3 linked regions of the Ovis aries genome follow. The protein of the gene in region 2 purifies or fractionates together with the protein of the main gene of each other region. This does not show direct contact. Links are inferred from orthologs where the notes say so. Each region holds a gene or a part of one and is shown on either strand. Other genes may lie near its edges.

Evidence for each region. Proteins that work in one complex are often made in the same cells at the same time.
Region 1: the proteins of U2AF2 (region 2) and HNRNPF fractionate together in Homo sapiens (co-fractionation; 3 studies listed by BioGRID, with this or other methods). This does not show direct contact. The link is inferred for Ovis aries from reciprocal best matches to the Homo sapiens genes U2AF2 and HNRNPF.
Region 3: the proteins of U2AF2 (region 2) and CPSF6 fractionate together in Homo sapiens (co-fractionation; 3 studies listed by BioGRID, with this or other methods). This does not show direct contact. The link is inferred for Ovis aries from reciprocal best matches to the Homo sapiens genes U2AF2 and CPSF6.

What each region holds. Positions count from the first base shown.
Region 1 is NC_056078.1:13,135,149-13,138,648, reverse strand, and holds part of HNRNPF (heterogeneous nuclear ribonucleoprotein F), read left to right. Parts: intron 1-103; 5' UTR 104-3,093; coding exon 3,094-3,500.
Region 2 is NC_056067.1:62,662,731-62,666,230, forward strand, and holds part of U2AF2 (splicing factor U2AF 65 kDa subunit), read right to left. Parts: intron 868-3,500; coding exon 788-867; intron 686-787; coding exon 563-685; intron 402-562; coding exon 303-401; intron 189-302; coding exon 1-188. UniProt on the Homo sapiens protein: Plays a role in pre-mRNA splicing and 3'-end processing. By recruiting PRPF19 and the PRP19C/Prp19 complex/NTC/Nineteen complex to the RNA polymerase II C-terminal domain (CTD), and thereby pre-mRNA, may couple transcription to splicing.
Region 3 is NC_056056.1:150,756,531-150,760,030, forward strand, and holds part of CPSF6 (cleavage and polyadenylation specificity factor subunit 6), read right to left. Parts: intron 3,401-3,500; coding exon of another isoform or gene 3,310-3,400; exon of another isoform or gene 3,295-3,309; intron 3,149-3,294; coding exon 2,959-3,148; 3' UTR 2,956-2,958; intron 2,876-2,955; exon of another isoform or gene 1-2,875. UniProt on the Homo sapiens protein: Component of the cleavage factor Im (CFIm) complex that functions as an activator of the pre-mRNA 3'-end cleavage and polyadenylation processing required for the maturation of pre-mRNA into functional mRNAs.

The DNA.
Region 1 (3,500 bases), on a different chromosome or scaffold from region 2:
TGGAGAGGAGCTCAGAGCCGGTCCCAGCCAGGGGATTGCTGCCTCTGCTTGCTCCGGGAGTGCTGGGGCATTAAGATAAAATTTCCTTGTCGCTCTTTTTTAGGACGATTCGTTACCTACCTGGAGTGTCTTCGACTGTGGGCATCCCCCGGTGTTCTTTAAGGTGAGCTATTTTAAGAAAATCTCTCAGTTTATAATTCATTTCTTGATGCAGAAAACTTCCTGAGTTAAGATTTTTTTTTCACTAGCTGTAAATCTAACGTTGAGCAGAAAGCCAGCTCTTATTTTCACAAGTTTTATTTAATATTCTAAGTACTGAAAGTCTGCGAAGAATCCAAATCTAGAGGATTCTGAGGTCAACAGTAAGGATATTGCTCTATGTATTAGAAGTACATATGTGTTTTGGAAAAGTGCTTTTTTTGCTTTATAATTTCTGTTTTGGGCACTTTAAATAATTCTTAAATATTTGTTCTTTTATGCTTCCTGTCTTCCCCTCCCCCCTTCTGCTTGTCTTTTTTAACCTAACCAGACTGCCATATTCTAGAAGGTAGTGTTGGCCCCACGTGGCCATCAGTTAATCTCTTGCTAATCTTGGGCCTGCTGTGCTGGGGGTGGGACTACAGTGACCTACTGAACAGATAAGTCTGTTGCTACTAGCCTCTCAACGCAGTTGCAAAGAGTTTTAAACAAATTATGAATTGTTTCCCTAGAATGCTCTGGGATCATAGAACTATAGATTTAATTTGCGGGGGGTGGAGGGGGGAGAAAGTCTTGTGGAAAAGTTAAATTTAAGCTGAGAGTATAAGGATTAGTGGGATTTAGCTAGACAGAAGATTGGGTGGGCTATCTTCAGACAGATAATTACTACATGTGTCAATTCCAGTGGAACAGAGAGCCTGCCACATTTCCGGCACAGAAATACAGGAATAAAGGTTTGTTTGCTTTCTAATGCAAGTGTGTTTCAGGTCAAAGTTTCAAGGCCTGAGCACCCCCTTGGCCCTATGATTTGTGTTCCAGACAGTGGGGAGCCACTGAGGTGTTGAAACAGTAGAATGACATAAAATTACACTCAAGAGAGCTACAGATTGGGCTGGTAGGAAGGACTGGAAAAGTTGTAGATGTGAATGTCTTGGAAAGGGCTTGTTGGTACTGGAAGTAGAAAGGGATGAAGGTGATGCACAGAGATGATGATGATTTGATATTCAAGCAGTATGCTAAGGACCAAGATAGGAGAAATCTCTATACTTGCTGGAGTCAAGAATTACTGAATAGAATTTAGGCATGGATTAGGAGTAGGATTAGGGTGGAGAATGGGATCACCCCCCACAAGGAAATAATGAGCTCATTAGATTTAAGGGCTTGCAAGTTGTTCAGAGATTGCTTCAGTTTCATTCTAGAGCCTTTGGATGGCAAGTAAGGCCATTTATGCTTCAGGATACTATAGAAGAGTTTCAGAAAAAAGTGGTGTTGATTTGTGGTACATAGGTTGAACTATGGAATGGAGTTTGTCTAGGCCAGTCTTGGCCTCGGGGAAATCTTAAGTCTAGGAACCTGTGTGTCCTGAGCCCAGAATTGACGCTGGAAATACAAGGATCAGGTGAGGTTACCTGCAAAAATGGGGCCAGTGATTGTGTATGGTTAAACCTTGGTGAAGGACTCAAAGAGGCAGAGTACCTAAGGAATTAACAGGAAAACCAAGAGCCAAGAGGAGAAAGGATTTCCAGCGAGAATGGTTAAATCCTGTGGGCACAGAAGAGATGGAGATAAGAAAATGTTTCTTTTCTTGCCATGGAGATCCTTGGCAGAGTGACATGTGCCCTAGTTTAATGGTAGGGTAGGGAAGGACGTGTAAGAAGCCTTTTTGAGGATGAGATTTCACTGAAAGGGAAAGCAAAGCCAAGTAGCTGGAGGCAAGTTGGTATAAGGAAAGATAGTATCCTAGGGGGTGATTAGAAATGAGAAAATCTCCTTAATTGATAAGGAAAGTAGTGTTCAGTGAAGTTTGTATGAAGATGGAGATTCCTTGGGGTGGGTGGAGTTGACCAGGGCAGAGCCACAGATAAGAGCTCAGCTACAGAAGAAGCAACTCCCTTGTTTATAAATTTCTAGAACTTGCTCTGATTTGCTTCACCAGGTCTCTGTTAAACCAGTTTTCTTTTCTTTTTCTTACCATTCATGCTTTCTGGTTTTGTGGGGTTTTTAGAAATCTGTCCATGTTTTGCTCTAATAGTGTAAATATGTCATGCCATTTGAGATAGTTTTAGGATTCATCTGAGGTAAGATTCTGTTTCATCTTTCTGCGTGATAATGTGCCTAGATTTTTTTGAAAAGGCACCTTTTACCACTGACTTAATAGCTACATCTGTTATACTTGATATCAAATGGCAATTCGATAAAACAACTTTTGTATACTTGTGCCTGTTCTGAATATATTTTTGGCCTTATCTGTATTTTTATTGTCTGTGTTATTCGTATATTGGTGTCTGACTCAGCTCCTGCTTTTCAAAATGCTGCCCTTCGACATGGATTTGACCTTTACTCTTTTTTCAGCTTGGACTCTGGGTGTCAGATGCCACTTATACTTCATGGCACTTTGTCAGGAGGGGCACCTGTCATGCCTCTTGTACAATGAAGAGTCTATTCCATTTCTAGTCCCTCAGTGAAACACAGCGATGTATGTGTTGCATTGAACAACGTAATGTGTTTTATTTTGTTTTTTGGGGGGGGGGTCATGCTGTGCTGCTTATGGCACTAGGGATTGAACCCAGGCCATGGCAGTGTGAAACTGAGAGGCATATAGTTTGATTTCTATGTTTGCATCTCATATAACTGATACTCTGCTGATGGACTTACGTGTTTGTTTGGATATGTCTTAATTTTACCATGCGCTTGATTGGGGTTTTGAGTAGACAATAGGACTTCTCACCTACTGTCTTGCCTTTTACTTTAGTGATTGCAGTAATGCAGTCTGTTTTCCTTTAGTTTCATATTCTTGTTAAACATATTAAATGAAAATTTATGTAGTCTTTGCTTTCTTTTCAGCCACACAAAGCTGCACCCGGGCTTGTTTGACGTCTGCTCTGTCGAGTGTCCATGATGTTGGGCCCTGAGGGAGGTGAAGGCTTTGTGGTCAAGCTCCGTGGCCTGCCCTGGTCCTGCTCTGTTGAGGATGTGCAGAATTTCCTCTCCGACTGCACGATCCATGACGGGGTCGCAGGTGTTCATTTTATCTACACTAGAGAAGGCAGGCAGAGTGGTGAGGCTTTTGTTGAACTTGAATCAGAAGATGATGTAAAATTGGCCCTTAAAAAAGACAGGGAAAGCATGGGACATCGGTACATTGAAGTGTTCAAGTCCCACAGAACCGAGATGGATTGGGTGTTGAAGCACAGTGGTCCAAACAGTGCTGACACTGCCAACGATGGTTTCGTGCGACTTCGAGGACTCCCGTTTGGATGCACCAAGGAAGAGATCATTCAGTTCTTCTCAGGGTTGGAAAT
Region 2 (3,500 bases):
AGCCCATACTTGCCGCACTCATCTCGCACATCCTCCACGATCTCCTCATACTCCTCATCGTCCAGCAGCTCCTCAGGCAGCACCATGTTCATCAGGCACAGCACCTCTGTCGGGTGCCCGCCCATCTGCACCTGCGAGCTCATCAGGCCGGGCACTTGCAAGGTCACAGGGGTCTGGTTGATGGTGCTCTGTGGAGGGGTGGAGGCAGGGGTCACGGGGTGCCCAACCCCGGTGTGGGGGGACCCGCCAGCACCCAGCCCCTCCCCGCCCCCAGTGCCCCGAGCCAATGGAAGATGACGTGCCAGGGGGCTCACCAGCGTGGCATTCTTGGCGCCCACACTCGCCCTCTGGACCAGCAGCTTCTTATCTCCCAGCTGCATCCCATTCAGCCCCGCGATGGCCTGTGGTGGGGCGGGGGAGGGGCCGGGGCAGGGAGAGGTGGTCGGGGTCAGAGCAGGCTGCGTGGCAGACAGGGCACGGCAAAGGGGGAAGAGCTGCAAGCCCCGCGCCCCGCCCTGAGGGGAGACCCCAGCAGGGCCGGGCGCGCTGGGGCCGGGCTCACCTGATCCGTGACGTTGATGTCCACGTACTCACAGAAGGCGTAGCCCTTGGAGAGTCCGGTGGCGCTGTCCTTGACCAGGTTGAAGGCCTTGAGCGGCCCAAACGACGTCAGCAGCTCTTTCACCTGCGTGGGCCGGGGCACAGTCAGGTTGCAGGGCGGGGCAGGGGGTGGGGGCCGGGGGTCGGGCCACGGTGCCATCAGTTTTCGGGGCAGGCAGAGGCCTACCTGGTCGTCATTCAGGTAGTTGGGTAAGCCCCCGATGAACAGCTTGTGCGCAGAGTCCGGGACCACGGTGGACACGACTCCTGGGGGGAGGGGAGTAGAGCAGACAGGTTGCGATTCCTGGCACGGTCATGACGGGGACCTGGGGGCTGTCTCCAGGGGGGCCCGCCTGGCTGCCAGCCCCCTCCTCACGACACCCGACACCAGCGGGCACAGCCGCACGATGGGCCAGGTCAGCAACCACACTCGCCCCAAGCTGGGGGAGCTCTCAGCCCCCAGGGAGGGTCGCAAACCACGGCCTCCCCTCCCCCTCGGGCCCCAGCTCAGAGCTCCTGCCCCCCCACCCCCTAACCAGGGCTCCCCAGGGGCCTCAACTCCCCGGGCCTGCCCACCCCCATGCCTCTGGGCCAGGTCCCGTGGGACCTCGGGCCCAGTGTTCTATGTACGTGAGGCTGGGCTGTGCCCACCCCGAGCACTGAGCTACGTCCGGTGGGGGCCCCTCAACAGAGCAGGCCTCAGGACTACCAGGCACCCACTGGCCACACCCCCTGCTGAGCGCCCCCGCCCCCCAGCCCACCAGGCTCTGCAGCGCTGTCCTCCAGCCCCCGGGGCCCACACCGTGGCCTGCTCCTGACTGCTTTCAGGGCCCACTGCGGCCAGCCACCTGGCCTGGCCCACCTCTTCGACCCAGCGCCGGTAGCCCGGAGGACCAGAGGGGCAGCGTTCCGCCCGGAGCAAGGCTCTTGGTGGGGGAAGCGGGGGCGGATGAGAACAACAGGCCGCCGAACTCCAGGCGGCCCAGCACGGGGAAGGGCAGGCCGCGTCCCAGCCACCACCAGCCTGCCGTGCTGAGGCTGCCAGGAGGGCCCACGCCAGATCGAGCGATGCAGACAGAGGCTCTGGGCTGGCGTGGGTGCCCAGAGCCCCCATGGGCTCTGAAGCCTCCCTAGGCCCCGCAGCATCGCCACCGCCTCAGCAGGAGCCCTAGCTGCCCAGCTACTGGCCTGGCCTGCAGACACCACCGGGCCACACAGGTGCACGGCCACAGGCCGTGCCCCTTCCATCCAGGGTCCTGAACTGTTTCTTCTCCAACCAAAAGCATCTGTTGAATTTTACTAAGTGCGTCTCCCTGGGGCTTTCCAGGTGGCTCAGTGGTCAAAAATCTGCTTGCAATACAAGAGACCTGGGTTTGATCCCTGGCTCATGAATATCCTCTGCAGAAGCGAATGGCAACTCACACCAGTATTCTTGCCTGGAGAATCCCACAGACAAAGAAGCCTGGCGGGCTACAGTCCACAGGGTCGCAAAGAGTCAGACAGGACTAAGGGACTATCACTTTCACCCCTTCAATAATCTGTGAACTCGACTTCTTCGTTGGAGTAGAAAGGAAAATCAAAATATTGTGTTTAGGATTTGCCTGGTGGTCCAGTAGTTGGTCCAGTAGTTAAGAATCCACCCACCAACTCAGGAGACAAGGGTTCGATCCCTGGCCCGGGAAGATCCCACTTGCCTCGGGGCAACTAAGCCCACAGAACACAACTGAAGCCCAAGCGCCCTCAAGCCCCACACGAGAAGCCACTGCCACAAGAAGCATCGCAACTAAGGAGAGTCCTCAAGCAGCAACAAAGACTCGCACGGCGAAAATTAAATAAAAAAAAAAAACTCGTCATTACAGAGAAACTTCTCTGGTTTGAGAATGCTTCACCCACATGCAGCATCTGGCTTCCTACCCCCTCCACAGCCCAGGAAGCACACTCCCCAGTCACTGTGGCTGGAGCCCCAGCCCTCCATGGAGACTGGAGGCAAATACTAGGAGAGGAGACCCGCCACAGTGAGAGCCAGGCTCCCACAAGGGAAGGATGACAGGCAGGCCTGCGTACAGGGGTGAGGCACCAGCTCTAACCCTGTACTACAGGACAGTCACGACACCACCGCACCCACAGGGAACCCCCAGATGGTGCCTGGCATGGCAGGCTTGGGCCAGCCTGCATCAACAGGATGGTTAGGACGCATTTGGGTCACCAGGAGGCACCGAAGCACATCCTGTGGCCTGATCCCCCAGACACACGTGCACAGAAAACACGGCAAATCAGCAGGTCAGGGCCTCCCACAAGCTCCAGAGACTGCTGGCCTCCCCCACACGCTCAGCAGGGACCAGAGAGGAGCCAGGTGGTCCCCAAGGGCCGCCCTCGTTGGGCCCCGCACCCCTGGCTTCATAAGCACAAGGACTGCTTCCAAAGCGCGCCCTTCGGTGTGAACCTCAGCTAGGACAACCCGTGCTCTCAACCCCCGGGGGCGGGGATGCCCCCAACACAGGCCCACCCTCGGCATAGCCTGCAGGTCCGGTGCAGCCATGTGCTGCTCCTGCCCGGTCTGAGGACTTTCCAGAAGGGCCTTTTATACCATGAGTGTGACAGGGCCCCCGACGCCAGCATCTGTGAGCATTCGGGCCAGAGTGACCGAGGAGCTCCACCAGAGACAATGTGCTGCAAAGCACAGCAACTCTCTGGCCCATCAGAGAGCAGCCTCTGGCCACCCAGGTCTGCTTCGCTGTCCACCTACCCAGACGGCACTGACCACGGCAGGGAGACCTGCTTCAAGCCAGGGGTCAGCGGAAGCCCCGAGACAGGAGAGCAGGGACAGCCGCCCGTCAGGCCCGAGGAGGAGCTCCACGGGCACGTGGGCGTCCACATGGGCTCTGGCGCGTGCACTGACC
Region 3 (3,500 bases), on a different chromosome or scaffold from region 2:
CGAAAAGCATGAATAGAAAGTATTTCTTAAATATCCTTTCATTAATCTTCAGTATACAAACAAAAGCAAAACCATTAACAGAAATTTGCTAAGCAGCGTTGTTCCCAACAAGTAATAACAGAAACATGAAAGAAAATAACTATGAAAATAAAATTTTTTCTGTAAAAACCATACAATATTAAAAACACTGAACTACTTTTGTTTTGCTCAGAGTGGCCTGAGAATTGAGGCAGAAATTACAGAATATAAAGCACAATATATTTACATGCTGAAATTCACAATATTGATATTCTCATTAAAATATTATATATTTGAACTTAGATATTAAATGCTTTTAGAAAAACTAATACATTTTTTAAATGAGAGAATGCAGTTAACATTACCAACAGTTCAAACACAAAAAAATTAAGATGGGACAGACATTAACAGCTTGCCAACATCATTAAGTTTCCAGTTAAATTAAGAACTTGCCCTTTTAGCCATTCATCACTTTAATAATAGGTCACATTATTGTTTTATTTGTATACAGACTTAACAGTGACATTCACTTCAGCTTCAAAATTACTCTTATTCCATTTAGTCCATTTAAGGTTTACATAAAAGTTCAAAAGGACTCATATTTTAAAACTTCTAAAAAAGGTCAATAGACCTTATTTTGATGGTGATTAAATGTGCAAATAGTTTTTATTTGCTTAAGAAAGTTTTTCACTTGGATATATTTAATCCCAATTCCCTCCCCATCCCATTTATTCCATGTCTACATCAGCAATAAATACTTTTTGGTATATAGCAAAGGTACAATATTCCAGGTTAACAAAATTTTTTGCACTGGAAATGCGTATGTAAAATTTTGCTTGGATGAAGGCACATAACAATATTACAACTCAATTCTGATTATAATGTACAAACAAAACATGGGAATTTTGGTATGGTACACATCAGCGATTAAGAAAAAATGCCAACAATATTTAGTTTGCAAGTTAAGAATTCATAGTTAATGTCTGAATGTAATGAAACTCAAACCATGATATAGTTAGGTGTACCCATTACTGGAATGTAATGTTAGTTAATTCAAGGTATTTAAAATTAACAATGGACTTTTCAGAAAGAGTTTACCTATTTATCTATGCTAGTTTAACTAAAACTATTAAGAAAGCCTATTAATTAACTTTGGATATAAACTGGTTCAGAATGCCCCCAATGGGCATGTCCAGTCCTGGAGAAGACTGAAAAGCTATGCAAGTTCCATTCTCATGACCCCAGTTAACTAGAAGCTTGTTGGTAACTGACAAAGTCTAAGTAAAAATATAACTTGAAGGACCTGTATCTTACTTTAAATGAAATGGCTGATGAACATTAAGCATTTCACTAAAGTGGCCATAATTCACCTAAAGCAACTGATGAGCACTGGGAATTTTTTTTAAGATGGGATTAGGCCCATTCAACTTGGGGAGAGGAAGGGGACTACATCTAAAAAATCTAATGTTTAATTTTACATGACACAATATTCAATTCTTACATCCAAGAACAGTATCAATTCCAAGAAGCTTAGTTTTAAAAGTAAAAAATATTTTGCCTTATATTAAAATGTTTTGAAAATTGTATTAAGTTTATAATACAGTACATGGAGAACTATTTTTAAATTACAGTTTACTATATATTCAAGATGCATATTCAAAATCCAAGGAAAAGTATTAAAATTTGCCTTTTCCCTTCAAAAAGCTCTTAAAACTGTAAATAATATAACTTATCTGTAAACCACAAAAATAAGATTTACATTGCTTGTTTTCTAAGTAGTATTACTTAAAAAAGGATCTCATTTGTTAAAATATATCTACTTAAAGAAACTGCTACTCTGTCACAGAATTACATGCAAGTCTTTGGTTTTGCTCATAACAATTTAAACACTAATAATTACTGAATTTTCAGTATTTCCCAATTTTAGTTATGGAAAAGAATCATGTAAAGAATAGTAACCTATAAGGGATTTGTTTTAGTCTAATTTAATTTGGATATGCCACCAACCTATGAAGAAAAGAATTCTGTTTACAGAATAACTTTTGTGTCACATGCACAAGCCTTACAGTGCCCTCCTCCCACTCTTCACATGAATAATGCTGTTCACAAATATAAAAATAAAATCACACGTGAAAATGAAGTATAAACAGACAACTCTTCCCGCTTTATGAAAAATGTACACAATAGTTTTTAAATACAGAAAAAAAAAGACAATGATTATGGTTTATGAATGAAACATCAAATAAAATTACTTCAAGGTTATTCTAACCTGAGATGTATGATTTGATACAACTTAAAATTCTCTATATGGAATATCTGAATTCATTTTAACTGAGTAACTTTCTTATCTTCTTCGCAAATCAAAGAATACTGTTTCTTTTCTTTTAAAAACAAAGCCCAGATGGCAGGAAAAGTGTCTTTTCTTAAAAAAAGTTTTTCTCAATGCTAACAAACCACCTTCCAACTAGCAACAAGTGTCAGATTGTCTATAAAATTTTTAGGAATAAATAAAGTTAGTTCAAGGAGAGAAACTTTAAATTTATTTTAAGTCCAAGCATATTATAGTAAGAATTAATTCATCCTTTATATTTTAAATCACACGCAAACTATGTATGTGATTAAGAGAATCCCAATTTTTAGATTTTAGAAGTAGACAATGAGTCCTCTTGATTATTTTCTTGCTTTCTTAGGATCATTAACAGTCTGAAACCTAAAAGCTGTTAACTCAAGCAAGCAATATTTAAGGATAAGAGGTCAAAATGTTTACCTGTCATTACTCACCTGTCATTTACCTCAGATGATTCCAGAAGATTAAATTCAGAACAAGTAGTTGGACGATATAAAATGTGGGTATATACTGTATAAACAATAGCCTTGGAGTTATAATTACTATTAATAATAGGTATGCTAAAACCAACAGGAACAAGGAATACCCACCTTCTAACGATGACGATACTCGCGCTCTCGGTCACGCTCTCGATCCCGGTCTCGGTCCCGGTCCCGGTGTCTCTCTCGTTCTCGGCTTCTCTCTCTGTAATAATCATCATGGCGATCTCTACTGCGGGATTTATGACGACGACTCTTTTCTCGTGATCTACTATGATCCCTTTCTCTTGATCGTTCACGTCTTCTAAAAGAAATTACTGGATTAATGCTCTCCATAATTAGCTTTAAAATTTAGTATTTTGATGTTTAAAAATACCCAAGGCAAAAAAAAACTTAAAAATACAGTTTAGACTAAAATATCCTGAACAGACAATAATGATTTATCAACTCAGCAACAAGCATGAACTAGAAATCCCATTTTAAAAAATATTCACCTAAAAATTGGGAACCAGACACACCATGGTAATACATCAGACCATCTATTATAACCAGGAGCCTAAAAGAGACATGCAATATTTACGGAATGAAAAGCAGAAAGGTAAAGTAGAGAAAATCTCATAGAACTTGTGTTTTAACCAAAAGAATATATAGAAGAA